Lonchura striata: one gene and its partner. The main gene of each other region encodes a partner of the protein of the gene in region 2 in a complex. Links are inferred from orthologs where the notes say so. Each region holds a gene or a part of one and is shown on either strand. Other genes may lie near its edges. The genes, in order: TRAPPC12 and TRAPPC9.

What was found.
Region 1: TRAPPC9 (region 2) and TRAPPC12 share a complex: the UniProt entries of both Homo sapiens proteins name them as parts of the multisubunit TRAPP (transport protein particle) complex. The link is inferred for Lonchura striata from reciprocal best matches to the Homo sapiens genes TRAPPC9 and TRAPPC12.

Annotation. Positions count from the first base shown.
Region 1 is NC_134605.1:96,159,953-96,175,951, reverse strand, and holds the start of TRAPPC12 (trafficking protein particle complex subunit 12), read right to left. Parts: upstream 5,768-15,999; 5' UTR 5,715-5,767; intron 5,565-5,714; exon of another isoform or gene 5,438-5,564; intron 4,974-5,437; 5' UTR 4,969-4,973; coding exon 3,766-4,968; intron 669-3,765; coding exon 552-668; intron 1-551. Other genes in the region: EIPR1 (EARP and GARP complex-interacting protein 1), read left to right, coding at 5,888-5,929, 14,311-14,394. UniProt on the Homo sapiens protein: Component of the TRAPP complex, which is involved in endoplasmic reticulum to Golgi apparatus trafficking at a very early stage.
Region 2 is NC_134603.1:5,093,493-5,109,633, forward strand, and holds the start of TRAPPC9 (trafficking protein particle complex subunit 9), read left to right. Parts: upstream 1-9,083; 5' UTR 9,084-9,172; exon of another isoform or gene 9,173-9,217; intron 9,218-10,861; 5' UTR 10,862-10,878; coding exon 10,879-11,462; intron 11,463-16,141. Other genes in the region: CHRAC1 (chromatin accessibility complex protein 1), read right to left, coding at 2,611-2,756, 3,836-3,962, 4,565-4,702. UniProt on the Homo sapiens protein: Functions as an activator of NF-kappa-B through increased phosphorylation of the IKK complex. May function in neuronal cells differentiation. May play a role in vesicular transport from endoplasmic reticulum to Golgi.

The DNA of each region.
Region 1 (15,999 bases), on a different chromosome or scaffold from region 2:
TACACAGTTCTTAAAGGAACAAGGCAAGATTTACAAGGCTGCTAGACAACTATTTTCAGAACAGAAATATTTACATTATTGAAAGGATTAAGTTCAGCTTTCTTCTGGAAGTAATTTGCTTTAGTTTTCTGCACTGAAGTAAAAGATCAGACAGTTGAAATTATCATATCAGTTTGGCTTGCCATTTGCAACTTGTATGTCTTTTTGTACAACATTCAGGTGAAAACTTAAGCACATACACAGGTTAACAAAAACATGATTAAAATCTGTTTTGTAACCATTACATAAAAACTCACAGTCACTTAAAATTAATTTTTGTAACTTTTGCATGTAAAAAAATGTTTACTATGTGATTTAAACCCAAATAGTTAAACCCCAGCATCATTCCCATTAAAGGCTATTGTAGTTTGGTTAGTACTATTGAAGGGTCAGGAACAGACTAATACACAGGTTTTTTCCCAGTTTCTCCTCAGTCAGTAGCTCCCAATTATCTTGAGAGAAACAATATTAAATATATATTAAATATATATTATATGATGATTGTTACTTACAATTAGCTGTTTCAAGCCTACAAATGACTGCTCTACAGAGTTGGCATTTAAAACTTGTCTCTTCACTGCAGCCTGTTCCCCCAAGAAGCGAAGCATTAGGTCTTTTACTGCATCTCCCTTGGTGTTCATGGAACAGAAAAAGAAAACAGATAACAAGACTATTTAAAACATTATTTCAGCAAAATAAAATGTTATGTTACATGTGTAATAAATATAACTGCATGTGTATATACAGCATTGGAATGAAAACTTCTACATTTACTCTATATAATTTGCTATATTTTTTCTTCCATGGATAGGTTTCAGTTAGCACTGACACATTCAGGTTCATTTGCTTCTTCTACTATTGTAGAAGATCATTTATAAGATGATTCACAAATCTTAAAAATAAAATATTCCTCAAAGATCTTATAAAAACCAGAAATTTTTTGTAATGTATGTTAACATTGAAAGGTGCAATCTATTGATCAAAATAAACATGCACACACAGTAAGTGAGCCTTAAATATCCACCAAAAATAAACTTTGAGAGATCATAAACCAAAGTAAACAGCAACCCTTCAACAAGTGTTTCAAATTTCAAAAGAACTAGCTGCAGTCATCAGTCAGAGAAACTGGGTTATATGAGCTCAATAGCTGCCTAAAGAGACTGAACTGCATATAATAACAGCAGAGCTTAGCTATGACAAAGACAATTGATATTAAGTGTTTCAACTTTCTCCATGGACAGTGATGGGAAATACATTTGTGTTTTCTGTCTAGCTTCTTAAGGAATGAGAACAACTGTTTCACTACATGGAAATTTTTTACCTCGATGTCACTTATCCTACAAATAAACAACTGATCTGCCTGACAGAAGAGCCCAAAGAATTAAGAAAAGAGAGTGTGAGCAAAATGACATAAATACAGAAGATTTTTTAAATCCCCCTAACAGTACTTTTGATCCAACTGTCCTTTGGTGTAGGAAACAGTAAAAATGAATGTAATGAAACAAAGGACACTGACAGAAGAGAGGAACTCATGAAAAAAGGTGTAATGGAAAGACTATAAAAAGCAGCAGATTTTTCTGTCACTTTGAGAGCACTGCTACAGACAATCTTTACCATACACAACCCAATGTAAGTTTAAAAAACAATGCTTTTTTAAATGATTGTCAAAAGGTAACATGCAGCTGAAATAAAAATCATTCCGTATTTTTCTTGGTGTGATTTATCTACGTAAGACTTGTCTTACAATACATTTTCTGAGCAAGCAGGGCAAAAAATAAAGTCCCAAGCTCATCAATGCATATAATGTGAAATTTCAGTCCTTCCCTGAAGCACACTTAAGGTTCACTCACTGCAAATGCATTTTCAACCAACCTCTCTGTCCACTGCATGTAGCTTCGTTTAACATCTTGCATTAACATTCATCATTAGCAAACTATTATTACCAAAGCTGTAATGACCCTTGTTGGAAGTTACTTTTAACATTGAAAATATACCTCCCACAATATTTCAGTTGACACTTCAAGCACTCTACAATTACAGTTACAGTTAAATGCACAATTTGCAATACTATGGAACAATGATACCAAACTAGGAGATGTCAAATCAGTCAAGGCGTGCACTCAGACCACAAAAAAGCAGTAACTGAAAGTGAGGAAAGTTTTCTAAACATAAAGCACTTCAGAACTTGTCCCTGTGAACATGTCTAGAAAACTCTTATAATTCTTAAACAATGAAGAAAGCATTAGGATTTCCTTTAATTGCACTGATGATTTTACATCAGTCTTCATAGAAATACATCATACGGACATTGTCAAACATCCTCCCTTCAATTATATACTAAATGGTAGATCTGCATCTTTGCACTTGCCCAGATTTAGGAAATAAATAGCAGAAACAAGCCTTTAATCCCTGACTGCGCTGAGGAAGGTGAAAGAGAACTATTGTAAAAAAGGAAGCTTGCAAAAAGGAGGCCATCATCCTTGGAGACTGGAGAAGGGATCACTCCATCTGTCTGATTAGCTGTCAGGAGAGAAAGAGTACACACTGGAATAACTCATCAAGGTCTAATAGATATTTTGGGTACAACTGGAGGAGGAATAGCTAGCTTCCTCTTACAGTGTTTTGTTTCACGCTAATTATCTGGCTCTGTGATAGCAAGCTTATGTTTTAAGATAAAGCAAACCCAAGAGGCAGCAGCAGTGTGGAGTATGTCTGGTATTTATTGCTTGTGACAGAAACCCAAGATTTTTCGAATAATTCATCTATAAGTCTGGACCTGATTCACCCCAGAAACTCTTCTGATAGCTACTACAGATTATCAAGTTATTGCAGACTGCTCTCTGCTTGTATATGACTATTGACTGATGGTCTTTGTTATGCATAATTAAGGATTAAAGCATCCAAACTCTAAACACCATCTATCTACACAACAATTCTATTATCCAGAGGCATAGATACCAAAGAGTAGGATTAGCCCGTTTCAAGAAAAAAACCAAAACATCATGATGGTTAGCCTGGCTGAGCAGCCAAGATAAAACTACTGAGAAATCCTGGATATGTGTGAGTAAAATTTCCCATATTCTGAAAAAAAAATGCTTTATGCCTTCTCATCTGTTAGAAATTGACAGAAGACAAAAAATTACTTTTCACTACTATATTGTTTGCTTTGTCATCTCCTCTAGTCTTTTTTCTTTTAATTTTGGGGTTATCCCTTCCTAGCAGCTTGCTGCAGCACTCAATCTTTCTTAGAGGTTATACATTTCCATTGCTTAGGGAAGATAGAAATGATGCCATTTCAGTCAGTGTCAACATTGTTCAGACCACTGTGAACATGAGTGAAATTATTTCCCACTCAATCACAACAGGGAATTCCACAAAGCTGTCTGCTTAGACACTTTAGCACAGCTTAGAGATGTGTATATATTCCAAATGTATTATCTTACTCAGAGGACCAGAAATAAAGTACTTTAAAATACAAACAGCTTTGGTTTCTACAGAAACTGTCAACACTTGTTTTCAATGCACAATGTCATGATGAATAAATGAGATCTGGATTTAGCCTCTTCCTGTACAAGGCAGCAGTGATACTGCATTTTCTAATTAGAATTGAAGTAATACATACATCAGCAACAATATGAAGTACTATGACATACAGATTATTGGACAGATCTTCTACACTATTTTTAAAATATAATCACAGAGGAAGATACAGTAATATACTCTTACCTGGATATTATCAAATTTTAATCCAGGCATGGTGAGATTCTCCTTGTCTATGAACACGGTGCTGTATTGTTGTGTGGCAACTGAAATGAGAACATTTTTTGTCTCCTCGCTAGGAATCCAAGCATCATTTCTTCTATCTAGTTCACTCATATTTAAGGCTGTGGCAAATGGGTCATCACTCCCAGCAAAAACAGCTTGGATTTGTGAGAATGGCTTGGGGGATTGAGTTATTTCTAGAGATGATGGGGGACCACCTGTTTCAGGTCTCCCATTTTGCACAGGGAAAGTAGGGTTAGATGAAGAACCATCTCCACCATTAGAAAGAGAGGACATTTGTTCTGGAACTGAAGAGCTTGCACTGGGATTACTAACAGAAATAAAATTGGATGTTGTAAATGAATCAAAAAAATCAGAGGCTAAAGTATTAGTGTTAACAGTGTCACCAAAGAACTTGCTTAGACTAGGACTGGGTTGAACCACCTGTGGATTATACTTCACTGGAGTCTCTATTATACTACTAAAGCTGGGAGATTTCACCATCTGAGGCTCAAAACCATCAGGTAGGAACAACTGTGGCTGGGAACTAGCATTGTTTGCTTGGCTGAAGATGGTGCACACGGGAATGGGCTCAGCCTCAGAAGATGGTTTGGTAGTACTGGGTGACAACATTTGGTCTTCAGGTGTGCTCTCATCATTATTTGGTTTTGTTTCTACAGGAACGTTGTTTCCCAACTTTGGTTCCTCCTTGACTACTTCCTGAATTGAGTCTTCCTTTAAAGATGCCTGATCATCCATTCCAATCTCAGAAATGTCTTTAGGAGTTTCTTCATGTTCTGTTTCACTCTCATTACTTAAAAACTCTTCTTTATCCACTTCTGTTTGTGTTTTTTGATTATCTTTATTTTCCATTTGGTCTACTATTTCCTGAAGACAACCAAGTTCACCTGTGTCATCTTCACTGTTGTTTGGGGAATCTGAAATAATGACACTCTCCATCATTTGTTCATTAAGTTTATCTACAAAATTATTTGAATCCTCTGATATAGTTTCATTTCCTTCAGACTCAAATTCATCACCACCAAGATCAATGGTTTCCTCATGAAAGAGAACTTCATCCTGAGTTTTCTGCTGAACTATGTCTCTGCTGTCATCTTCACCTGAGGTGCTCTTTGCATCCTTAGCATTGCTTTCATTATTCTCCATAGTAACTGAAAAAGGAGAAGACACCACCAAATAAGAATTAGTTTTATTGCTTGCATATTGTTCAGGTGTCACAGCAAAACTCCTAAGTACCATACAAATAGTGAAATTCTTGCTTTAAAAAACAGTAATTTCACTATTTCACATCTCCCCTTTGACATTTTTCATTTAACGTTTAATCACAGAATCAATCCTGAAAATATTTTCTCTTTATCTTTTCTACAAGTCGTAAAACTATTGAGATTGAAGACCAAATGCCTCCCACTTGAAACAGTATCATAGAATGGTACCAGAGAATGGTTTGGAAGGAGACCTTACAAGATCATCTGATTCCAAACCCCCTACCATGGGTAGGGACACCTTCCATTAGACCAGGTTGCTCAGAGCCCCATCCCACCTGGCCTTAAACTCCTCCAGGTTTGGGACCTCCCCAGCTTCCCCGGGCAACCTGTTCCAGTGACTCAACACTTGCCTTCCCGGCGGCAAGGACCGCTCGGTCCCGCTCCCAGCCAGGCGAAGCGTGGGCTGACGGCGGCCAGCAGCGCAGCTGCCGGGCACGGGCCGGCCAAGCCCCCGCAGCCCCGGCCCGGACACCCGCGGCGGGGGCGAGCCCGGCCTCCCTCACGGCCTCCTCCTGGCACAGCCCCGTGAGCACCCGCCCACCCGGACGCCCCTCAGGCCGCGCGGCCGCTCCGTTTAATTCTATTCCATTCCACTCTATTCCATTCTATTTCGTCCCGTCCCGTCACCTCCGCGCCGCCGCCGCGTCCGGCGCCGCTCCGCCCGCACTGCGCCTGCGCTCGGGCCGGGCCGGGCGGGGCCGCGCCAGCGCAGCTGCGGAAGCGGCCGGCGACGGGCCGCGCCGAGGGTCAGAAAGCAGCGGCCGCGACGGCGGGTGCCTGGCTGGGCTGGGGGCGTCGCGATGGAGGACGACGCGCCGGTGATTTACGGGCTGGAGTTCCAGGTGAGCGAGAGGGAGGTTTAGGGAAGGTTGGCAGGTACCGGTGCTGCCTTCGAGAAGGCGCTGGCGGCGGCGCCGGGTGTGTGTAGAGGGGCAGAGGAGAGCCCGCCCGGGGGACCGGCGTCCTCCCTGCTCCCCGAGCGGGGACCGGGGCGCCACGGGCACCGCCGGGCTGCGGTGGCGTTTGGTGGCTTTTGGTGGCTTTTGGTGGCGTTTGGCGGCCGCGTTGGGTGTTGAGGGTGGCTGGCCGGCGGGCGGGAGTCGTTCCGCCTCAAGCGCTGTTCTCAGGGCGGGCAGGGCCCGGCCAGGCTCCTTCTCCCCGCGGTGCCGGGGCTCCTGCCCGGGCAGCGCTCCCACTCCGCCTCTGCAAAAGGCTTTGCCTGGCTCTGCACTGGTGCCAAAGCACTGTTCAAGAAATCCCTGATTCTGCCTTGTCAGAAAAAAAAATTAAAAATTGCTTTTCTGAAGGAAAACACGAAACTTGTTTCTAGTAAGTTGCAAATTTTAGTTGGTTATACCCTACCATAAATCTGTGTGAAATTTATGGGCCCTCCCTGTACTATGCGTATATGTGCATTTGTCCCATGTGACAAATCTGTTCATCACATCTGTATTTTATGGCTGTAAGGAAATGGAACTGTCTAACTCAGAAACTTACTGATCCTCTTCTTAGAGGAACACAGGTGTTGTGTTTAATGAGGATTCTGTAAGTTCTGGGAAAGCAGAGTGAGAGGGACCCTAATTCACTCCTCCTTTGCCCAAGGGCATTATTTAGCTGTTATGTGTTGTGGCTGGCTTATCATTACTAGCCATTCTAGCAGTAATACCTGAGAAAAAAACCAGCACCTTCTAACAAAGCAGTTCGTTCTACAGTAGATGTAGTAACAGAAGTATCTACACGTGCACTTTTTTTTTTTCTTTTGGCACCTTTGCTAAAGTATTTGTGAAAAGTAACATACACAGGTTCTTTGTAACAAATGTCCAGTGTACTGAATAGTGTGCTCTGTAGTTCTGACTATACTAATAGACTTCATTAGTAAATTTTGTATATGATTGCATTATGTGTTTGGCTTGAGATGGCTGTAACTTGTACTTCAAAATTAATGAAACTTATACTTAAATCTCTTTTGCAGAAGAGAATATATATCCTGTACTTAATAAAATTCATATCTCATTTCTAGTAAGTCACATATAATCTATCTTCCAGGAATTTGGGAAAACTAGTGTGTGTTGTCTGGGACCTCCATGGACCTGTGTATCCTGCTCCCTCCCATACCATATATCTGCTACACACTTCTTCTCTCCTGTGAAGTATGTAACTTGTTGGAGTTGTCTGGCAGGAGGATAAAGCAAATGCATAAATAAAGTGGCTGTAATAAAAGGAAATTACTGTTAATACAGATCACTTAGGGAGAGGGTGAGGAAAGAAGAGATGATTTATGTGTAAGTCAGAAGGGGAGCGTAGAGATGAAGGCTCTGTTGCTGATCTCCATTAACTCCCCGTGTGTCTTTAAAACAAACTGCATCTCTGTACTTTTTGAAAATGGAGACACTAATATAGAAACTGTAACCTAAAACTGATCTGGTTTTCCAACTTCCATCTCAAGGTCTAACAAGAAAGATGATTATTTTTAATCATAATTTCTTCTGTGTCACTAGATAATAATGGTTAGCTGTATCATCTCAATTATTGCTTTTAGTCTGAAAGCATCTCTTCAGACTAATTTTTCAGCCAAGTTTTGAAAATGTTGGCTTTGCTTCTTATATTTGGGCTCTAGCAGTCAGTAAAAGTCCATCTTTGGCCACTGGAGAAAGTGTAATTGTGTAAATGTGCTTTTTATCTGATTTAAGTGACCATGTTTTATAGGAACATAGAGCTGATTCTTCCTAGGCACTATCCACCAATTAACATTATTTCTGCATGGTTTCTGTTCATTTTGATGTACAGAATGTTCTGATGTATTGACATATATAAGGTAACTTAGAATAATGACCAAATACATTTTTCTCTTTTTTTAATCTCTTGGGTGTGTCTGTACATAATATGAACATTGTACAGACATGCAAATGATGTGTGAATGACACTTTTTGTGACTTTTAAAAAGACAATCTCACCATGGTTGCTCTGCTTGTCCGACTGCAGTGAAAATGAGAAGATTACGGTGGGTGGTGAATGAAAATGTGAGATACTGCTTGAATTGAGGTACTGAGTGATGTGACTGTGGCTCATGATGGTGAATACCAAGCAACAGCAGCAGCTGCAGAACATTTCAATACCAAGGTGGTCCTTCTAAAAGGAATCTTAGTAGAAATAATCAATATCCTCAATGATAAGAATGTAATGAATGAAGTCCCAGGAATATTGCTGCGTGCTGTATTTTGTCAGTGAAGTGATGTTGTTCTTGTCCCATGTAGAGTTGACCTGGGCTTTATTCTCTAACCTGAAATACATGGTATGTCTACCCCATGTTGAATTGGCTTTCATTTTCAGGGAGTCACAATTTTCCCCATGTTTTTTCCTGAGGGTTTAAACAGTGATGTTTTGAACAGGTGTGAAAGCACCACTGAAGCTCTCAAAATACCATGTTTGCCTTAGTTTAGGATTGACTAGATAACATTTATATCCCTGGAAATGAGCAGTGGGAAGAGGTGCTTTCTGGGATAGGCATTTGGCTCAAGCCTACATCTGGCTTGTTTAAAAGCATGCAGAAGCCAGCCAGCATTATGAGATGAGGAAGAGGAACATAACTTATGCCAGAGAGTGATCATTTTGGAGCACGTGTTTAGCACATTTAATGAGTTTTGGGGACACCACAACACTGAGCTGAATTTCAGCATGCTGGATACTCCTACTGTATGTTGCATGGCAAAAGTAAATAGACATGTGAGGAAAAAGGACAGTGAGCAGGAGGCAAGGACCACAGAAAGCTTCCTGGCTGAGTACAGGGCCATAGTGCCCATGGGCAGCTCCAGCAGCACCCTGAAGCAGGCTTGAAAAAAGTGTGCTGATGCTTTGATAGAGTTAGTGTTCTGCATTGTGATCGTTGTGCTTCTTGAATAAGTGATACTTGGCCCATTTTGTGTTGTCTATTATATGTTAACAGGTTTTATGAATCTGAATAGACACTTGATTTTTTAGAACTTGCCTGCTTGCAAGAATAAGATGAAACTTAATTTCCCTAAAGCCAAATGTGTTTTCTTAGAGTAAGAAACTTAAAGCAAAATACCAACTGAAATAGACTGTGGAAGACGCGTGACCAATGTGTGTACACCTACTGTCATCAGTATGTATTGAGACTAGCTCAGCTGATTTACCTGTGATGGAGTAAAAGCCAGGTGTAGATTTACTAGAAGTGGTAAAAGGGGTCTTCCCTGGAAAATGTGTGTTGCTTGTGAGCTCCCCAGGGAAAGCTGTCCTGGCTTTCAGGCTTGGCTCTGTTCCCAGTATGGGAGTGCAGAGCCTATAGCTCCTATGGGCGGTGGTGTTCTCTTCCCTGGGGGAAGCTTTTGTGTTCTCCTGTGGGCTCAGAGAGAACAGCCTAAGCAGAATGTACTTAATTACTTTGGTCCAGTTTTAGCAATGTCTTTGGAAGACTTTGAAAATTGAATCAGTTTAAGAAACTGCCTAATAATGTCTTACTAAAATTCCTAGCTTTTCTTTCAATTCTCTTTCTTCTCTAAGATTACTTGCCTCATGAGTGCCATTCCTGTATATTTTAAGCCTTTGTGGTTTAAAGTGTTACTAGAGGAACAAAAGTAGCTAAAGTGGCAAAGCTCTCTTTACTAATCCCCCAAAGATCTTCATAATGCATGAGGTGAAACAGTTGGAAAGTATTTTTAGGACCCTTAAGCAATTAGTAGGATCTTCCTAGTGTTAGGTGTGGTACAGAAAAATGACAATATAAAGATACAGTGAGGTGAACTTGAAGGAACTTTTACATGATGATTGTTCATGAGAAGTGAATGAGTTTTCTTAGGATGACTGTGCTGTGCAGGTGTTTGTGTATGGATTGCATTCATCGCTATTAGGGTTTACAGATTCTGTCAAGCTTTAGAATAGGGTCAATGCACTAAATATGTTGGTAGTGGGAATTCTTGTGCTGTGAAAGACTTCAGGAAAACAGCTGTCTGAGAGCATTGAAGGTAACCTGGGCATGTGTGCTGCCAACCTTTTCACTGATAGTCACTGCAGCTTATTAGAGTCACTGAGAGAGCCTCCTACTGTGGTGGGAGAAACAAGGCTGTCTTACCTATGTAAAAATCAAAGAGTACTTGAAAATTGAAATTGTGCCAGAAGGCAAAAATAACATTCATGACATTAGCAGACTGGGGCTTGTCTAGAGGAGCAGAGAATTTGTATTCTGCCTCCAGAATGAGGCATCAGCAAATCCAGCTCCTCACCCCAAGTAGCAGTACACTAGTCCTGGTTTTCAGCATAAGCAGATGGTCAAATAACTTTAAATTCAGATTTAGGGATTGCAAGCCAAATACTGTATCCTTACGTTTTGCATTTTAAGTTCACAATTTGGTAGTACAAATTGATTGTATGAATTTCAAATGATGCCTGGTTTGAAGAATATTTTTTCCTTATATTAAATATAATACAAATATTCAAATGTTGAGGTCTGTTTGTTTTCTTGTTTGTTAATAACAAATCAGTGCAATGCATCAGCACAAAAACATTTGTTGAACAAGTACTTTTTTGTTTGTCTATTAATGCGCTAAATAGTAACAGTCAAATTAACAAAACAAACAAGAAACCAAACCACGACTTTGTGCATTTGGCTGGTATTTCAAAAGATGTTGAGGAGTGAAAGTTTTTAAGAAGAAATTATGAACAACGTGTAGAGAATCAATGCATTGCAGTTCCATAATGCACTTAGTTTAAACCAACCTTCTTTACCCCTTTTGAGGTTTGTCATTGTGTTCTTCTGGATCATCTCTTGATGCTGTCAAGTACAATAGACTCTAATCTATTTCTTTTTATCCAAGGTTTTTATTTTTCTGCAGGTGGCCTAAATTGTCAAGGGCAAGGTAGAAGGTGATCTGTGCCCAGCATCACACTGAGCATAGTGTAGGCATAGACATGATGCCCAGTCTCCAGTCAGTCTTACCTGCATTCTGCTACAATGATCATTGTTTCTTTTGCTTTGATACAGCTGTCTGTCGTGCTTGTGTTCTAGGGTTTTAAATGTCCTTTGCATATGTATTTACTGTAGTGGATTTGCAGTTCAGTTGTTGTCCTGTTTTGTAAAACTCTTGCTTTAAACTATGCACATTTCCTCATAGGGCTGTTGATAAATCTGAAATTTGGACATGTAGCCAAAATTTTTTTTGTGGTTCACAATGTTTCAAACTTTGCTTGCTAGTATTTTTTTCCTAGAGTTAGGCCTTCTTTAAAAAAGAAATGGTGTAATTGCATAGATTGTTGCATTGTCTAGCACTATCAGTTAGGTGGGATGTTGAGAGCATGTGTAAAGATTACTTGTTAACTTGCTGCTTATGTCTTTCAGATGTGTATTCTGGTTACTTTCTAAGCATTATGCCAGTTTTTTAGTAAGTAATACTTTAATATCTTGGGTAGAATCCTAAAGTGGTTTGGGTTAGAACAGACCTTAAAGATCCTCCAGTTCCTCTCTCAGCCATGGGCAGGGGCACCTTCAACTAGACCAGGTTATTCAGAGCTCAGTCCAGCTGGGTCTTGAACTCCAGGGATGGGGAGTCCACAACCTCTCTGGTCAATCTGTTCAGTGCCTTACCATTCTCACAGTAATAATTTTTTTTTTTTTTTAATATCCAATCTAAACCTGCCTTGCTTCAGCTTAAGGCCATTCTCCCTTATCCCATCACTATGTGCCATTGTGGAAAATCCCTTTCCACATAAGCCTGGTATTAAAGTCTTTTTGGGCTATATGCAGTTCTGTGTTCTGTAGGTGCAGACTTAGAAAAATAATAATTTCCACTGGTTTAGATTAATCAATATTCATTTTACTATACTTTTTTGCTTATTTTCTATCTATGAGCTGTAGTCATAAGGCAGGATGCTTTATGAAAGGTTCTATTTGCAACTTGCTCTGGCAAGATGACAGAGTTAAGGCACTTTCCTTGATCTTGAAAGCACTCCAGATTCAGCTGTATTGTTCATTACAAGGATTACTCGGTGTCTTCAGCTGTTGAAAGAACTTCTTTTTCTCTCAAAGTAACTCAGAGTAGACAAAACCACACATTTTTGTGACACATGGAAATCTATTGTGCTAATATTGATATTATGAATAGGAGTCTTCCTAATTTATGAAGGCTTCATGAGTTTGAATTCTGTGTCTGGTGTATGGATGTTGCAGGGTTTATTTTGTCAGGGAATAAATAATAATGTTTCTTCTTATGAAATGTGTCTAAATATTTTTTTTCTTATGCCCTTTTTTTTTTTTCTTTCTGAAAAATGGAAAATTATTTTAAGGAAGAGTTAGAAAAGCTGATGATATAAATGTTGCTATGTATTTACATAATTTTATTTTGGGCACTTTGTGTCCAACTTTATGCAGTTTTGAAAACAGCCAGACCTACTTGAAAAGCTTTGAAAGGGCTGGAAACCTCTTTTATTTCTTTATTTTATTAAAGATCCTGGAGGTCTCTACTTCTCTTTGATGTATAAAAACAACAGAAGCTTCTTTGATTGAAGAAGATACATAGATGTTGGCTCATTTCTAGTGTTTTCTCAAAATAATTCAAAGCAGGTATTTTAATGAATGAATGCTTGCAAATGAAAATAAATGCTTGCAAAGATCTGCAAATGTAAATTCTGTTAAAGACAAAAGCTTTTCTGCAATCATCTTGATGGACTAAAGTTGTGTCTGTCAATCAGGAGCACTCTAGACTTGTAGATTAGTGCTGCATAAATAAGAAAGTAAAGCATATTGGTATGGATTCCCACTGATCTTTGATCTGCATGAGTGTTTTCCCCCACTACATAGATATTATAAATGTAGGTATAGGTTAGTAGCTTGTTACTTAGGAGCTTGTGGCATTTTTAAACTTTTTATGCTCTATCTTACACAAAATATTACACTGTTTAAGTTGCACATTTCAGATTCTAGGAAGGAAGTATCTGCTCTATACAAGTCCAGAGATGATTCAGAAAAATTAATTTTTCTTTACTGCTATTGCCGGACAATGCCTTGCATGGCTTTGCTTTATTTCAGAAAAGTCAAATATCTTTAAGTTGCTTTTCTAGAATTAAATTGCTCTAAGTTTGGATATTGGGATTAATATATTCCAGATATTCCCTTCCAAGCTTTTAGACATCTTCTAAATAGTAATTTGAAAATAAGTTTTAAATAGAATGATATTGAAGTCTTCCTGAATCCAAGGGTAACAAGCTGCACAACAGGATGGCAGTGAGAAGGGCCATTCAGCAGTCACCTGAATCCTTCATCGGTATTGGCTTGAAATACTGCCTTAGTGTCTGGAGAGATCTCAGCTATGCCAAATAGGATGTGAATTGCAGAGATTTATTTTTAGATTAAATAAATAATATTAAACAATATTATTAAGGTATCTCTTGCATGGAGAAACAGCAGCTATTCCTCACAATATATAGTTGCTAAAAATGCCTTTAAGTATTCATTTACCTTCCATTTACTCAAAATTATCTGAGAGTCTCTACTAATGACTAGTGCAAACCTAGTGATTGTGGCTTTAGTTCAAGCTGTGCTTTATTTATCAGTGTCTCCCATGGCCCTTAACTGCTTGGTTTTGCTTCTTCCAAGACTGTGGTTGGTGTAACTTGAAGAAGCAAGGCAGACTCTAGCAATGCCATTAACATAACAAAGAAATAACATTGTGACAAAAGTTTTAAAGATAAAATTAAAAAAAAAACTCTCATGATTCAGACACTTCTTATCTCTAATGGGCTGCAGCAGAAAAAAGGAGGCTTGGTTTTTAATTTGGTTCTAAAATTGGTGGCTAATGATGAGAAAAAAATTAATTTTTATACAGGCATACTCAACCTGAGTGGTGTGAAAACTCTTGCCTCTTCCTTGGATACCATGCTGTTTTTTTAACAATAGTTAAATATTGTCCACTGCTCTGTGGAGTTTTTTCAGATGATAAAGGAAAATAGTTTGGGAGAGATGCTGCATTTAATGTCATCCCTGTTCTAATGAAGATCAGGTAATGTATTTAGCACCTGTATTCCTCAATCCTCACAAGTATGAGAAATTGCACAAAAAAATGTATTAAGCAAAATGGGGATAAAGGCCAAGAAAATCTGCCGTTTGTAAGAATGTAATGCTTAAAATGACAATTGATATACAAGTTTCAAGATTTTTGCTGAAATTAATGGATTTTATTAATTGTACTTTTCTAATGGCTTTCTTCTTCCCTAGGCACGAGCTTTAACACCTCAGACAGCAGAAACAGATGCAATAAGATTTTTGGTTGGAACACAGTCTCTTAGATATGATAATCAGGTAATTTTTCCATCAAATGTCAGTTGTAATTTTTACCACTTTTTGTAACATTTTTCCAATATCATCTCTTTTCCTTTCTCCCCCTCTTGAGCATGAGCATTGATAGTCAAGTTCAAGGATTCTGTGGGTAGAATGTAATGACACTGGTAGGAAAGGGAGGTGAATGAAAGCTTTGTGTATTTTCCGAAAATCATATCTCTCTTCTAAATTGTATGACTAACTCAGATTGGTTTAGTAAAAAAACTGCCATATTTTTGTTAATTAGAATATATAGATGCTCTGGAGCTATCTTTAAATCCCTGAAGAGATGCAAAGTAAAGCAAAAGTCTTTAAGCCTTAATTGCTTCTAATGGGACTCCTGATACATGCACAGTTCAGTGTACATGATGCTTCATAAACTGGATTTTTCAATATTCATTACTGGAAATCAGCTATGTCCTTTCTCATCATTCAGACAATTCAAACTAAAATTTGAGTGACTTTCATGGCTCAGTTTCTGTTAGGCCATTTCTTCTGAGGTTAAGTGTATAAGTTGTAATTTTACAGCAAATTTAATTTTTGTGACTGAATTCCAGTAGAAATCATACTGAAACAAGTTTTTGAGGCTGAAAGGGTTAGCAGGTTGTACTGAGTGCAGGTGGCAAGGCTTGGGTAGCAGGAGAGCTGCAGTGGTGGCCTCTGAGAAGAGGCCAAGGGTTGCCTGTGCCAGACATGGCTGGTTCCAGTGAATCCACTTCAGAACACAGGTGAGGCCTGTGAACCCATGAAGGCCCTGTGCTGAAGCAGAGGAACTGAGTGAGAGGAAACAGCCCTGTGCTGAAGCAGAGGAACTGAGTGAGAGGAAACAGCATCACAGAGAAAGCACCCATAACCACTACTGCCCCACATCCCCCTGCCCCATTTGAAAGGAGCAGAGGAGTCTGGGTTGAAGTTCAGCCTGGAAAGTGGGGGAGAGAAGGTACTTGTTTAACTGTCAATGAACTAATTCATCCACCCAAGTCTGTTTTGCCCAGAGTATTAGTAAGTGACCTCCCTGTCTGTAGATTGGCACATAAACAATCTCATTCCTATTCTTCCTGGTTTCTCCCCCTGTCTTTCCTGGGGAGAGCAGGTGTCTGGTGGGAGTCTGTTAGCTAAGGCTAGCACCCACCAAAGTCCCTGGCATTGAATGGAGTGACCAGCTCTTTTGAAAATGGCCTGTAATGGGCTGCCATCGCTTGGAACTATAGCTTTGGGACACGTAAAATGTCAATTCCCAGTAACATTTTGAGTTCATTACTCAGTGATAATACTGGATGAGACTCAAGAAAAGTTACTCCAAGGCATAAGGGGGATGGAATATTCAGTTTATTTACATTTCATGTAAGACTTGGGCAAAGAGTAACGAAAGAAGTGGCACACACAGTTAAAATTAAAAATTCAATGCACACAATTATATTTTTGATTGTGCTGTCTCATGCTCTTCAAATATTTGGTATAATGTGTTTTTGGTTTTTTTACTCTGATTTCTGTGATGTTTTTACAACTTGCTCAGCTAATTAAATCCTGATATGAAATTGTTGTTGAAGAATGGGACTCAGCAGTTGATAGCCAACAGATCTTTAA
Region 2 (16,141 bases):
CCGTGCTGCTTTAACTGCTTACAAGTTATAATCCTGGAACTGTTTTTGGAAGATTAACATTTTGGAAACCACTTGCCTGAATTTTTTATTATTTTTTGAGTGAATCCCTACAGTGATTCATTTTTAAATGAAGAAAATGTAGCACCTGGTGGTAACTATAAAGCATCCAACAGAATTCCAAGGATGCCAAGGAGCTTCCTTTGGGAGCCCAACCCTACAAACACAGATTGGTTTTACTCAGTAATACAAAATACTGTCAGAGCTGTTTCTTCCTTTTATTTTTTCCCTCGTGTTTTGAAACACCACTTTGAATTGGATGAGATTTTGCTCTGTGTCAGGCTCTTGGAGAAAACAAAAAACCCTTCGCTGATTTGATGGCAACAAGCTTTGGCAGCTGCAGGGCCTCGGAGAGGGCTGTGGCAAATTTTGACAGCTCTGAAGTCCCCATTGAGGATTCTGGCTGAATGAATCCAGAAGGGTGTGCACATTCTTCTGGACTCAGGAATTCACAGGATATGTTCATGGTCCCACAGGAAACTTCTAAGAGGGATGAAAAGCAGTGATTTACACTTAGTAACCATAGTTCTTTTGTCATGTCCTTTGAGCAGCATTGGCTGGGGTGGGGAAGGGTCTCACAAGCTGGTGTTGTTGGGGGAAAAAGATAGAAACGTGTCTGTACTAATAATAATTAATCCAAAAGTGTCCCCTGGCCTGCGTTCCACTGCCTAAAATCCCGCAACACCTTAAACAGGTCAAGCAAGATACTTGGTCACTTTTGAGGAAGTTCCTTTTAAATGATGCAGACGCAAAGGGAAAATAGGATTAAAAAGCTCAAGGGTTGAGGTACAGACTCAAGGTCACTGAAAAGTTGCTGTGATGAGCAAAACAGATGTGACTGGAGGGAAAATTATATAATTTACTGACAAATTAGGTGGAATTAGGTGGTGAGAAGCCAAGTCAAAAATTAAAAAGTTTTCCAACCCTTTCCCAGTCCCTTCTCCCCTTCCCTCTCCTGCCTTCCCGCCCCAGGGTGCAGGGGTGGGGATGGGGCTGTGGTCAGAGCCCTGCCAAGGCTGTTTCAGGATGTTCCTCTCTCTGGTTGTGACCCATCCATGGTTCAGGTATTTGATTGTTGCCCCCATCCCTGTTTCTGCTAGAGAGTCACTGTGCAATTCTGTGGTGGTGGCTTTTTTTGCTTCACAAAAAATTGCCAGCCCCTCCCCTCAAACACCATTCCACACTGTTTTCCACACAGCTCCATGCACTTTTAATAATATTAAAAAAAAAAAAAAAAAAAAAAAAAAAGCAAAAAAGCACAAACCAGCTCTTGGAACAATAGTTTAGTTCTGCCTTTACCCATTTGGGAATTTCCCCAGGGATCCAGCCCCACTCAGCACTCACTGCAGAATTCATGGTACAGCATGATTTTCATTTATGGCAACTTCAGGAACATTTTTTACAGTGCAGCATCCTCTGATCTGTTAAAATAGCAGGAGCATTTCTGGTATGGCTCAGAAGCTCTGCCAGTCCCTGACCCTACCTGCCTAAGCTCCACTTGGCTTTCTAAGAACATGGAATGTGCTGGATTGTGGATATGCTGGAGCTCCCGGCTAAGTTTTAAAAGAAGCTGAGCATGGTTGTGCCTTCAACCCAAGAGCAGCTGTTCAGCTATTCACTTCTAGTAAGTCTTTACCATACCCTCCAAATTAGGGTGTTGCTTGAGACAAATTCCTGGCTGACTTGCTGCCCAACTTTTTTGGAATGGGAGGTTCTTATTACCTGTTAACATTCCTGTGCCTACCTGGGGCATTCTTCACCCCTGGGGACAGATCTTGGTCACTTTTCTCTCTCAGACATGGCCACACTGCCCGTGTGTGACTGAAACTGGAAAGAATTGCAGGAAGTTTCTGCATCCATTGTCAAGTTTTCATACAAAACATTTATTTGAAAAAGTTGCATGTAAAGTTCTACACAGGACGGTTGCCATTTCTGTAGTAAAAAAAAAGAAAAGCAAACCAAAACCACATAAAAAAATCATCTCTGTCATGCACATGGTAAAGGAGCTGCTCTTTCTCAAGAACCCACAATTAACAGACTTCAATGTGCATTTTGGCAAGAGAAACTGCAGAAGTGGAGTTCACTCAAGAAAAGGGTTCTGGATGCACATATGTACTTAATTTTCTACCCCATTTACCATCACAGCTACAGAACCACCATTAGCTCTTGGGATAGGATCTCCTCTCCCATTTGGGTGCCCAAATGGCTGTTTTTACAGACCTTTTTAATGCACTTGGTCCACTTTTGGAGCTTTTGAATTGAAAGCTGCCTGTAAGAAATTTTAAATTTGGGTAATGATTGTCAGACAAAGTAATTTCAAATCATCTGACCAAGCTCTGCTGGCAGGTTTGCAGTGTCTCTTCCTACCCCACCATGTTTCGGAGGGAAGAATTCCATTCTCCAACGAGTATAAAGTTCAATTTCTTAACTTCTTAAAGCAAAAGCAGATGGCTCAGTGTATAAATACATCCAGCATCTGGATTCTCAGTCACAAAAATAACATGCTTTATACAATAGAAAATGGATCAACTATGAAACAATTCTCCATTGGCCTTAAGATCCAACAGCAGCACCAACACCTTCATCTTCATCCTGTTCCTCCTCAGCCTCATCATCGTCTTCCCTCATTTCTCCATCTCGCTTCTCTTTTTCAAGCATTTTTAGGTATTTGCTAGCTAGGATCTTCTTTGGCAAGATATCTGAAAGGCAGAATTGTTGCTTTTTTAGTCAATTTGAATATGTGTATTGCCTCATGAATACTGTTCCATCAAAATCACTAAAGAAATTAAGACAAAAAGAAATATTAATACTTTTAACAAACCTTAGGTGAATAACCAGGTAAGTCAGCCTGACCCACACACTGTAAGCTGTAAGAGTAGGAGGGAGTTACCCACTTACAGTACAAGTAACCAAAGATAAGGACTCTATTTTGTGACTGATTACTGGCACCTTTTAGTGTCTGCTGATGTGAATTATTTGATGTAAAACAGAGCCCAACTGCCTTAGATCCAATAAGCCATTGATATAAAATCCAAGTATCAGTAAAAACGTGTCTGTGTGTGTATCTAGAAGCATAGAGGGACCAATATGATGAAGTTTCTTTTCTCAAAACTTATAGAATCCTATGTGTCATTTTTGTCCACATAACTCCTCACCTAAAGATGTGCAATGATCTTCTTTCACAAGCTGAAAGCTTTCAGATGGAACTGCTGGAATTTAGGAAATGCTTAAGGCAATATCCTGAGAACTGTATACAGTATGATTGTAATTTAGAGACAGCAGAAAAATCCCTATTCACAGAGAAATGTTTTTAGGAAAGTAGTGTTACAGTGCGCTTGGGCTATGCTTTTCCCCATTTCCAGGGACCCCTGTGACTCTGATCAGGTAAGTGTCCACTCCTTCCCGCCCTGACAGGGTTGGCTGAGAGGCAGAGAAGCCCTCCCTGCCCAGAGCCTAGATAAACCCATAACTCTGTTTGCTCGCTTTCCCCCTGGACCTCATGGAATAAAGAAGCTGGACACCACATCGGGGTGAGAGTCTCTTTTGAATCTTTGCCCATCTCCTGATGTTCCTCCCCTCAAGGCCTCGTATCTCTGGGCTAGCCTAATAAGTTGGGGCTGAGAGGGGCAGAAGCATCAAGTAGTTAACGAGTTCCAGTTGAATGCTAACCAAGAGATAAACGACCTGTAGGAGAACTGGGTCCTCACAAAACAGAGCATAAAGAGCAAGATTTCACTTTCCAAAGTAGACACAGGATTTACCCTTGTGTTATCAATACCTGCAAGGAACTGAAAGGTCTCACACTCTTCTGCTGTATGAGACAGGTCACTGTAAGTCAAAGCATTCTTCTCTTTCCCTCTGCCGTGTTTGTAGGAGTATGTAGCCAAATATTGAACAAAAAGCTCCTAAAAAATTAAAACAAAACTGCGTAGTCAGACTAAGTATGCACACATATCTTTGATTCCCGTCTACAGGCAGAAGCACCATATTTAACTTCACGTACACTGGGCACTCAGTGCACAGACTCATTACCTTTCAGTACCTGAAGGCAGTCTACAGGAAAGATGGAGAGAGAATATTTACAAGGGCATGTAGTGACAGGACAAGGGGGAATGGCATCAAACTGGCAGAAAGTAGGTTTAGATCAGTTAATAGGAAGAAATCCTTCCCTCTGAGGGTGCTGAGGCCCTGGCACAGGTTGCTCGGAGAAGCTGCGGCCGCCCCATCCCTGGAGCCGTCCAAGGCCAGGCTGGACGGAGCTCGGAGCACCCTGGGACAGTGTAAAGTGTCCCTGGCCGTGGCAGGGCTGTGAAATAGATGTTCTTTAAGGTTCCTTCGCACACAAGCCATTCTATGAGTCCAGACTCGGGCAGCTTGAGGCCAGCTCCGTCTCGGGCGCGGACAGAGAAGGGAAGCGGGAGCCGGGCCGCGGCAGCGCTCCGCAGCGGCGGCCCCGGCCGGGCACGGGGAGGCGCGGGGCCCGAGGGCAGGGCAGGGCGAGCGGTACCGTGGCCTTGGCGGTGAGGAACAGCGCGTCCTGGTTGATGCTGGAGACCTCCGGGGAGCTCTTCATGATGACGCGGATCCGCGACAGGGGCAGCGACACCAGACGGTTCTCGCTGCCGCTCAGCCGCGCCGCCGCCATCTCAGCCCGTCCCCGCGGCGGCGAGGGCGCGGCCCGCCGGGAGCTGTAGGCGGCGGAGCCGGGACTGCGGATCCCTGCAGCTCCGGGACTGCAGCTCCCTGCAGTTCCGGGACTACAGCTCCCTGCAGCTCCGGGACTACAGCTCCCTGCAGCTCCCTACAGCTCCCTACAGCTCCGGGACTGCAGCTCCCTGCAGCTCCGGGACTACAGATCCCTGCAGCACCGGGACTACAGATCCCTACAGCTCCGGGACTACAGATCCCTGCAGCATCGGGACTACAGCTCCCTGCAGCACCGGGACTACAGATCCCTGCAGCACCGGGACTACAGATCCCTACAGCTCCGGGACTACAGATCCCTGCAGCTCCCTACAGCTCCCTACAGCTCCGGGACTACAGCTCCCTGGAGCTACGGGACTACAGCTCCCTACAGCTCCCTACATCTCCCCGCAATACAGGGACCCTCCTCCAGCCGGGACTACAGCTCCCTACATCTCCCCGCAATACAGGGACCCTTCTCCAGCCGGGACTACAGCTCCCTACAGCTCCCTACATCTCCCGGCAATACAGGGACGCGCCCGCCGCAGCCCCCGGCTCCCCCGGCTCTCTCCTCCCCGCCGCGGGCGGACGGCGGCCCCGGGGGTGCCCGGGCGCGCTGAGGCTCCGGCGGCTGCGAGTCCCTTCATAGAATCACAGAATTAAGTAGGCTGGAAAAGGTCTCTGAGATCATCGAGTCCAACCTGTGACCGATCGCCAGGTGGTTGTAGAGTGATAAGGTCACACCCCCGAGCCTCCTTTTCTCCAGGCTCAACAGCCCCAGCTCGCTCGGCTGCTCCTCATCAGACTTGTGCTCCAGCCCCTTCAGCAGCTTTGTGTCCCATCTCTGGACCTGCTCCAGCACCTCAATGTCCTTCCTAAATTGATGGGCCCAGAACTGGACACAGCACTCGAGGTGTGGCCTCCCCAGTGCCCAGCACAGAGGGACAGTCACTGCCCTGGTCCTGCTGGCCACACTAGTGCTGACATGGAAAGCCAGGAGGCCACTGGGCTCCTTGCCAACCTGGGCACACCCTGGCTCACGTTCACCTGCTGTCAACCAGCACTTCCAGGTCCTTTTCCACCAGGTCATTTTGTGCTGAGCAGCTCCAGTGCTTTCCAGTCACTCTTCCCACCTGTGTGGATTCCTGCTGTCCCAGCACAGGCGGGAGCAGCCTTGGGGCTTCCCCTTCCTCACCTCTCACCGTGGCTCCTCAGCTCCAGGCTGGCACAGGAGGGTGGGGAGCTTGTTCTCAATGCCAACTGGGCATCTCGATCTGTGTGTATGCCAGGATTACAGGCCACTGCCTACAAAGTTGTTAACCCAAACTGCAATTACAGGCTGCTCAACACCTCTGCCGCTGTAGTACAGTCCCAGGGAATGTGTCTGGTCATCCTGACACTTGTCAGAGCTGGGGGGGAGGTGTGGAGGGTACGTGTAAACTATGAAGTGATGATGGGGCTGCTTGTAACATGCTTGTGGATGGGGTTTTGATGCTGGGAGTGTTTGCTCCAGAAGTTTGCCTGTGCCTGTTTGGGTAAGAGCTGCAGGTTGTGTGAGCGCTTCCAGAAGTAATGACACATCATTTGCATCAATTCATTAATGGTTTCAATCAAAAAGTTTCCAATATGCTTTATAAACATCATGCCTGATGGTTTGTATTGGTAAGAAATCTGCTAAGGCCACTAAACTATCTAAATATGAGAGAGAAAAGCAGGAGCTTTTTCAGAATACACAATAATAATTCACATGGAATTTAGGGGAGAAAGAACTGTACCCATGAAGAATCATTAAATGGAAAACACAGCAAATTTGTTGACTGAATGTCACTATCTGATACAGAATTTGCCCAGTACATAAGGCCAAGGCTATAGATTATCCTGATTTATTAATAAAATACAGCACCATGAGCAGCTGGAAGTACAAGGATAACAACAGTATGTGATAAATTTCAAAATTACTGTATTTGGGGACATAATTTATAGTTAGCTATTGCAGATAATCAGTATATTTTAGGCTGTATAATTCTCTTGAGATTACATCTTCTGTGAGGCCACTGTGTGTACGTTATATCTGAAAGGAAGCACAAATATCTTGGGATGCTGCCTGGATGTCTGGAAGGATTGGTTTCTTTCTCGATCCTTACTGTCTTGTGACATCTTGTGGAGACAGCTGACATTACTCCAGCAGTGAATTTTTAAAAAATACTACTGCAGCCTTTCATGAGAAAGAAATTTCAATATACAAATGAACCCTCATCAAACTACCAGGATTTCTGAGGGTATTGAGCTTGGTGGTGGGAAGGCACAGGTGAAGGAGCTCTGAGCTCCTCAGAGCCGTTCTTTCCCCCTCTGCCAGCTGAGAGCTTGGCCAGGTGTAGTTGCCTCTGTGAGTCTCTGTCTCCCAGAGAAGGGACAACGGGAGCAGGAGCTGCCCTGGCAGGAGAAGAGAGGCTGTGATTGACTGGGCTGAGCACTCCCCACCCCTCTCTGGCCCTAAGGCTGTGCTGCTCTTGGGCTTGGTCAGCTTCTGTCTGAGACTCTGAGGCCAGCTTGTACTGCCATCTCTCCAGCTCCTTTCCCTCTGGGAAATGTTGTCATTTTTTTGGAAGATAACCAAAGGTCAAGGCTAAAGCTTGTTCAGTTCCTTTTATGCTGTTATTTTTCTTCACAACTCCCAGACTGGGGAAACGCAAGAGAAGCAGAGAGACTTGCCAGGAGACCACATCTTGCGCCACAGTGGCTGAGGAGACCTGAAAAGAGGTTGTGGCCAGGTGAAGGTTAATCTCTTCTTCTAAGTAATAAGTGACAGTACAAGAGGAAATAGCTTCAAATGTGCCAGGGCAGGTTTAGATTGGATATTAAGAAAATTTTCTCCATCAAAAGGGTTGTCAAGCATTCATACCATCAGCCTAGGGAAGTGGTTGAATCACCATCCCATGAGGGATGTAAAAGCCATGTGGATGGGACTCTTAGGGACATGGTTTAGGGGTGGCCTTGGCAGTACTAGGTGTGACTTGATGATATTAAGGGTCTTTTCCAACCTAAATGATTTTATGATTCTACCTAAATGCAAATTTTTCAAACACTGTGAGTTCTGTTGAAGTTATTTGGTTGGCGTGCCACTGCTTTAAGTCATGACATGGCCCCTTATGAAAGGCTGCAATAAGGTGTTCATGGACCCTTCTCCAGGCTGAGCAACCCAAACTCTCTCAGGCTGATTCCACAGGAGGGGCACTTCAGCCTTCTGATTTCCATGGCTTCCTCTGGACCTGCTCCAAGAAATTTCTTGTGTGGGGATTCCAGACCTGGATGAAGCATTACAGGTGAGGTCTCACCAGAGTGGAGCAGAGGGGCAGAATCCCCTGCCTCACTGCTGCCCATGCTGTGGGATCAACCCAGGACATGTTTGGCTTTCTGGATGCAAGTGCACACACGGCCAGCTCATGTCCAGCCTCTCATCCACCAGCACCCCCAAGTCCTTCTTGGTGGGGCTGCTCTCAATCCACTTATTCCCTCCCCAGCCTGTATTGATACCAGGGTTTGGTCATCCAGGTGCAGCATCTTACACTTTGCCTCACTGAACATCATTAAGTTTCCCACATCCTCCACCAGAAATTCACCTGAACTCTCGTACAAGGCTTATAGTTCGGGAGTTTTTGTACTTCCAGAGTTTTCAGACTTTTGCCATTTAAGCTGCATGACTGAGAAATCCTCTCAGAGGAAGATCCCCCTCTACTCGAGGAGGCTCAGGGAGGACTTTGTCACTCTTTACAACTACCTCAAAGGAACTCGTAGAGAGCTGGGGCCAGCATCTTTTGCTGTGCCAAGGGGGTGAGGACCAGAGAAAATGGACTGCAGCTGAGAGAGGGGAGGTGCAGGTTAGACGTTAGAAAAAAAAGGTTTTTTTACTGTTCGGGTGGTCAGGCATTGGAATACACTGCCCAGGGTGGTGGTGGAATCACCATTCCTGTAAGGGTTTAAGAGGCATCTGAGTCTGGCAATGTGGTTTAGGGGTTACAGTGGCAGAGCTGGGCTGACAGCTGGACTGGATGATTCTATGACACCACACCAACTTCGGGATTTGGGAATGCCAGGAAGGCTCACTTCGTTCAAAGGGCCAGCTAGAGCCCTTCAGGTTTCCATACACAGTCGGCTGAAATTCACCAGGTGAATCAGTCACCCGTCCACTCCTGTTTTGCGTTCCTCGCGTTCACAGGCAGAGGCTTCCAGTCCCCGCGGAAGCCCCGGGGGCAGCACCGCGGACGGCAGCGGGGAACGGCCCCGCTCCCCTCAGGACTCCCCCGCCATGGCCCGCCGCGCATGCGGGGCGGAGCCGAGCGGCCATTGCCGTCAGTTCCGGCGGCGGCGGGGCGGCTCCGCTCCCGCTGTGGGTGCCGCTCCCCGCCCGGCAGCCGCGTCCCCCGTCCCGGCTGTGAGTGCCGCTTCCCCCTGTCCTAGAGCGGTTCCTGTCCCGGCTGTGAGTGCCCCCTCCCCGGTTACCGCCAGCCCCCGCTGCCCACATAGCGCCTCCTGCCCGGGCTGTCAGTGCCCCTTCCCCGGTTACCTCCGGCAGCCGCTGCCCCAGAGCCGCTGCCCCTGACGGCCTCAGCGGGGTGTGCGCCTCTGCCGCGCCTCCGCTCCGCTTCGCTCTGCTGCAGTTCATTTTCCCTGCTGGACTTGGCCCAAAGTGCCGTATGCCCGGGGACGGGGAAAGGGGGGAGCTCCCACCCGCTGCGGCCTCTGCTGGGGGAGGTGTCAGGACGGTGCTGCTGCCCCGGGAATGGGGCTGCAGCCCGGGAATGGGGCTGCACCTCGGGAATGGGGCTGCACCTTGGGAATGGGGCTGCAGCCCGGGAATGGGGCTGCACCTTGGGAATGGGGCGGTACCTTGGGAATGGGGCTGCACCTTGGGAATGGGGCTGCACCTCGGGAATGGGGCTGCAGCCCGGGAATGGGGCTGCACCTCGGGAATGGGGCTGCAGCCCGGGAATGGGGCTGCACCTTGGGAATGGGGCTGCACCTTGGGAATGGGGCTGCGCCTTGGGAATGGGGCTGCAGCTCGGGAATGGGGCTGCGCCTTGGGAATGGGGCTGCACCTCGGGAATGGGGCTGCAGCCCGGGAATGGGGCTGCAGGGCAGAGCCGGGCAGTGCGGTGGGAAAAGGGAGCTACGGTCCATAGTTCTGAGGAGCCCGTTTCCTCAAGCATCTATTCCTCTGTCTCATGTGTCCCCATGGACTCGGGACTCGTCGTTCTGCTTGTAAAACCAATGGTGTCAAGTCTAAAGATGGGCTGCGTTTGTTTTTTTTTTTTTTTTTTTTTTTTTTTTTTTTCTTTTGTCTGTGTGTTTGTTTTTGTGAAGGTTTGGGGTATTGTTTATGTTTTTTTTGGTGGTATTTACGGTTCAGGGCTTTGGAGCTGGAGTTCACGACGAAGGGGATCTCTGGTGTCCCGGAGGTCTCAGACATGAAAGGACTCGGGGGATGTGCATCTTCATTCAAGGCTCAGCTGCAGTAATCGATTTTAGAGAGCTCAGGAGAAAAGGGATTCTAAATACTTAAATGTAAAGGCAGAAAACAATGCCTGATCCTTTCCTATGTGTGTTTTGATAAAGCAAGACTTTGCTTTTCCTCAAAAATAGGTGTTCTGGTCCTAATTTTTCTCTGTTTGGCCATGTGTGAGTACTGACAGCTGTGTAAAGTTTGGTGATCCTGATTTGGTGCCTGTTTACATCTCACCTCATGCAATTTTGGATATTTCACCAAGAAAATGGGACTGAAGAGCCTGAGTCTGATAGGCTCTCCTGAACTGGTATTTCTGCCCAGTTGCTGTGGTAGAGACTTGTGTGAGCTGGCTTGTGTAGCTGCACAGGGAGTGAGATTCACTTGGAAAGCACTTATTTACAGATTTTTGTTTGAAAAGTGACTAAAAGTTCTCCTTGTGTACAGTGTAACGTCAGGAGGTTGCATGGTTGAAGATTTAGTAAAATAATGAAACAAACAGTGATACCGTAACACATAAATTCAGGCTGCAGAAGTGTTTAGCATCAAAGCCCTGGTTTGATTCAACAACCCTGTGTACTTCTGAAGGTTAAATAATAATATGCGTTTTTCTTTCACTAGCCTGCAGTTGATGCAAAATGAGTGTTCCTGACTACATGCAGTGTGCTGAGGATCATCAGACCCTCCTGGTCGTCGTTCAGCCCATTGGCATTGTACCTGAAGAGAGCTTTTTCAGGATCTACAAGCGGATTTCAGCCGTGAGCCAGGTTAACGTGCGCGACTCGCAGCGAGTGCTCTACATCCGATACAGGCACCATTATCCCCCAGAGAACAACGAGTGGGGGGATTTTCAGACACACCGCAAAGTCGTGGGGCTGATCACTATCACAGAGTGCTCTTCAGCAAAGGAATGGCCTCAGACTTTTGAAAAATTCCATCTTCAGAAGGAAATGTATGGCTCTACTCTCTATGATTCCCGGCTGTTTGTCTTTGGGCTTCAAGGAGAGATTGCAGAGCAGCCCCGCACAGATGTGGCGTTTTATCCCAGTTATGATGAGTGTGACACTGTGGAGAAGAGAATAGAAGATTTTATTGAGTCTCTCTTCATAGTGCTGGAGTCCAAGCGTCTTGACAGAGCCACTGATAAGTCCGGAGACAAGATCCCCCTGCTCTGTGTTCCTTTTGAGAAGAAGGATTTTGTAGGTCTGGACACCGATAGTAGGTAAGCAGCTACTTTTGTCAGCTCTTAAAAAAACACATCTGTGACACTTGCCAGCCTTTAGGATAAGCCTATTAGAAAGGACAAGGTGAGCCTTGTTCCAACAGGGGTTGTGCTCTGATCTTTCTGTGTTTTCTTGCTGTAGTTTTAAGGAAATCTAACATGTAGTCTCACTGTAGTTGATGTTCTGAGCTTGTTTTTATATATACATTTAATTGATGAAGCTCATCAAATAGCAGGAAGAAGTCACAGGAGTGGTTTGACAGGTTCTGCTGTAATAAGACTTTTTGCTGGAAGACTTCCAATGTTTTACAGATATACTGTATTAATAAAAAAAATCAGCATCAATGAAACTATTTTTATGTAATGTTGAGTAGTATTTGACTAATCATACTTACTGTATTTTTTCCCTTTAAACCTCTGTCTACTTTTTCATTCTATGAGATAGTGCCTGTTTATTTTGATGACAAAGTCCAGCATCTTTCCCTGTCCTTCTTTGTTTTATGTAATTATTTGTTATTGCTTTTTACCTGTCTTGTTTTGCTACCTGTTTGGTTTTTCGTAGGTTAGAGTTTTAGCCCCCCATTTTTCTTCCTCCTCATTTGCATACTCATCTGTCAGATTTGAGTGTTGCATAGTTCCTGTGCAAGGGATAAGTAATTCTGGCTTGATAGCTACAGGCAGGTGCAAAATCTGTTTGACTCTGCTGTTTGCAGTCAAATCCATGGGATGGAAGCATCCACCTTTTGTCCTGGCAGAGGTGGGGAAGTCCAAAGAAAACTCACACTATGTGTGTAAATAGTGGTGTTCATATTTGTGTTGTACTGTAGGGATGCCAGCAGAGGTTTCTACTGTGTGTAAAAGCTCAGAGGAGTCCAGGCAATTTTGTGAAGGTTTTAGATCAAATTAATCAGCTCTGCCTCTGTAGTTGGTCCTGCCTTGGAAACAGGAAGAAAGAATTCCAGCTAATTAGTTTGAAGTCTTTTGTTAAATTCCCTGTGGTGGCTTGAAGGACCATCAGTACCCCAGTGCCCTGCACCTCTTTGATGAGCACTTGAACTGGCAGTGACTTGTTGGTTCCTGTTTGTCCCTGAACTGTTATTCAGTTATCAATATGAATTACTGTGTTATTACTTTTTGCTTGTGGGTGGCAAAGTTGAGAAGACTGGACAAGCCTTTTTACAATCTTGTCTTTTACTCAGTTTGAAAGAAATTTGGCTGAACGTAATCAAATTTTCCTCTTCCAGATAGGTAGAAAATTATAATTGTTGGCCAAGAATCTCCAAATCAAAATGAATTCTGCTGTTCAGTTGTGTCTTATAAAAAATTGCGTTTTGGAAATTGCTTTCTTAGATGAATGAATTACTTCTGAGCAATGGCTGTGTTGTTACTAGTGGGAAATACTCCTTGTGAAGTTCTGAGCTGGTGGGGAGCTGGAGTGACAGCAGAATGTGTGCCCACACATCTCCAAGCAGGTGTTTGAAAGAGATTCCGTGTGGTGCTTTAGCTCTTTGCAGAATGGAAGGTGTGTGACCCTGTGTGTAGACACAGGGGTTTATCCAGAGTTAATCACTGGCTCAGCTCTGCACACACCCTTGCTGGGAGGTTTGAATATCAAACAGATTTTCAGTAGGTCTGGATCAATGGATGTACTTGAAATGTTTGCTGCACCAAACTGCTCAAGGAGAAGGTGTTAAATATTCTAATTTTTCAGTTCCATAGTAAGAAAGTTCTTCAGTTCTATTTTGCTGTGGAGTTAGTACTTCTGATTGTTATAATACTTAGGATTTATACGTTAAAACTTCAGAAAGCTAAATGAAAATATATTTCCAGCATCTCTGCACAGGAGCCTTTCTAGGTACCTTTAATGTAGCCTGATGCATCTCTGCCCTCTGTTCTAAAGCAGAAGCTCAAGTCCATTAAATAAGGTTGAACTCGGATCAGTTTACTAAACTAACTTAGACTTTCAAGCCAAAGCCTTTGGATGTGAGCTGGTGATAATAACATTCCATTTTATTATTTGTGAGTTTTTTGGTGCTTGGTTTGCAATTCACAGGATTTTATTTTAGCACATTCCCTTCTGTAGTGACAGATTGAATAATTAAGGGAAGGCACTCCATGCCAGGGAGAAACAGGGCTAGGAAGGACCTTCCTCAGTAGAGACCAGTTTCTGTTTTTGCAGGATTGGATGTGTAATGTTGTTCAGGGAGGGCTCAAGGTTGTTTGAATGCAGGAAGTGGGTACATCTGGTAGAACAGCTTTTGCTACTTTGTTTTGAGTCTGTCAGCATCATGATTTTACAGAAAGAAATAAAAACATGATGATACTTAGATATTGAGGCAAATGAAACAGCTTTTTCTAGAACAGATGGAAATTTCTAAAGGGTTAAAGGCAAAGAAAGTCCCTTGATCTTTTCTATATACTTTCTGTCTATTTGCAAATTTTGTATATCATGTACCCTGACATCCTAGTCAGTGTGTAATCAATTATTTAAAACCACAAATGTTCTCTATTAAATAGATGGCGGAGAAGACACACTCTGTTCTTGTAACAGAGGGTGTGTCTCTGCTGCTGTAGTTGTGGATACCTACTTAGGATAAATAAACATGTCTTTTCCTCTATCTTCTAAAATTGAAGTTAAATGGCAGTGTGTAGCAAAAGTATAATTAAATGTGTGGTGCAACTGTAACCTGGAGCTATTGGGATGATAGATTGAGGGAAAATATGTTAAGAATTTACATGCACTACATAATTCTGATCACTTGATTTGGAGACTAATTAAAACTATTGAACATAATTTGTATCTTAAAAGATGCTCTTCAAGTATTTTATGGTCAAATATTAACGTTAATACTTATGTGATGATCAGAGCTTTATATATAAACCTGATCATCTCCCTCACTCAGTTAGAAGACTTTCATTAGCTTGGATGCATGATAATTGCCATGGAAGTAAACTGATTGGCTTCTTTTAAGATGCAAAGTTCGTAAATTAGGAAGAGGAGTTATTATTTCAAATAGGGTAATTAATGGGAAAAGTGAGGATGATCTTTGTCTTTTGCAGGTTATTTGTGTAATGAGCAGGAGAAGCACATTCCCAGAGCTGACTGAGATGACAACATACACAAACTCACTGAAGTTTGTGTGCAGAAGAACTTTTTTTAGCTGGTAGAAAACTATATGTTTGAAACATAATGGGTTATGTCCTAAAATGAAAAGTTGTCCTGTTAAAGGGACATTGTAGGACTGAGAGGCTTGGTTTGATTCCTGGAGCATTCAGCCAAAAGAGATTTTGGCAAATTGATTTATTTTTTCTTTCTGTTTCTTCAGCTGTAAATTGGATAAAATATTTATGTGGTCACAGGACTGCTGAGGATAGTTGAAAAAGTTTCTGAAATCAGTTGCACTTGATAGTTACTTTTAGAGGGTGTGAGATTGATGGAGAACGATGGAAGCACATGTTCTCATGATGATAAAAACGTCCTACAAACTAAAAACTAGGAAACATCTGTGCCAGAAATACTGAAAATCCCATTTATTTTAAGTTTTCTATTTTATTTCTGTTTTCAGCTAAAAATAAACATACTTAGGTGTGATTGTAAATCTACTTGGATAAGCTCATTTTAATGTTGTTTACATCAGTTTGTGTCTTAGGTTCTTTCTTTTTCAATACTGGCATCATTTAATGCTGTGGAGGGATGAGGCTGTAGGGCCCTTTTTATAGATGTGTCATAGCTGGGATTTGTGCACTGATTTATCAAAGTTGATGATCTCAGTATGTGTATGTGGCTGTTAATTTTCTTTCTGTTCTCTGTCCTTCTAATTTCTGTTTTGTTCCTTTCTGTTTTTTCCCCCCCCTTCTTCTCTCATACTGCCCTGTGAGTTTGTTGTTGGGTCTAAAAAGGTAGGATGTGATTGTGTATCTTTGAAAATAGTTAGCTTTTTTCCCATGTCCTGCCTCTTCACTTCGCCTTCATTGCATATTCTAGTGTTGCTTTTTATTTTTATTTTTTCACCACACACAAAAATAATTGCTGCCTGGAGCCTCACCACTGCAGTTGCCCCCTTTTGGCGCATTTGGCAATTATATTTGGTAGCAATGCTGAGTTTTTTTGTAGGACACACATAGTCTGCTTAGGTGGCTGCTGGCCTCTGGAATTTGCTTTATTTTTTAAACTCCAAAGCCATGAAGCTGTTGCTGCCTGTGTTTGATTTCCAAATTCAAAAGTTCTGGCAGTTGATTCAGTGCCGTAGCCGTGTCTCTTGAAGTCTGGATAATGTTATGATTGGTGATATCTATAGCTCTGCATGCTAACTGGAATTAGTAGAACTTGATGGAAATTTTTGTTGGAGCATTTTGCATGAATACACTTTTGAGAATTGATTTTGCATGTTTCTTGTTTGTAAATTTAGCCAAATTTTGAGGATCCAGAAATTCCGTCAAACTTGTTTCTGGATGGTTTGCAGTGAAAATAAATTCTGTCTTGAACTACAATACTGTTGCACTAAATTTTCCATAATATTATCCTGGAATCCTAGAAAAGAGCTGGAGATGAAAGAATAAAGCACATATCCTATAGAGCAAAGAAGGCAGAAATGGAAATCAAGTAGTTCTTCATAGTTCCTGGAACTGATTTATTGTCCTCCACTTTGAAGTGGTAGCAGTGGTCAGTGGTCATGATT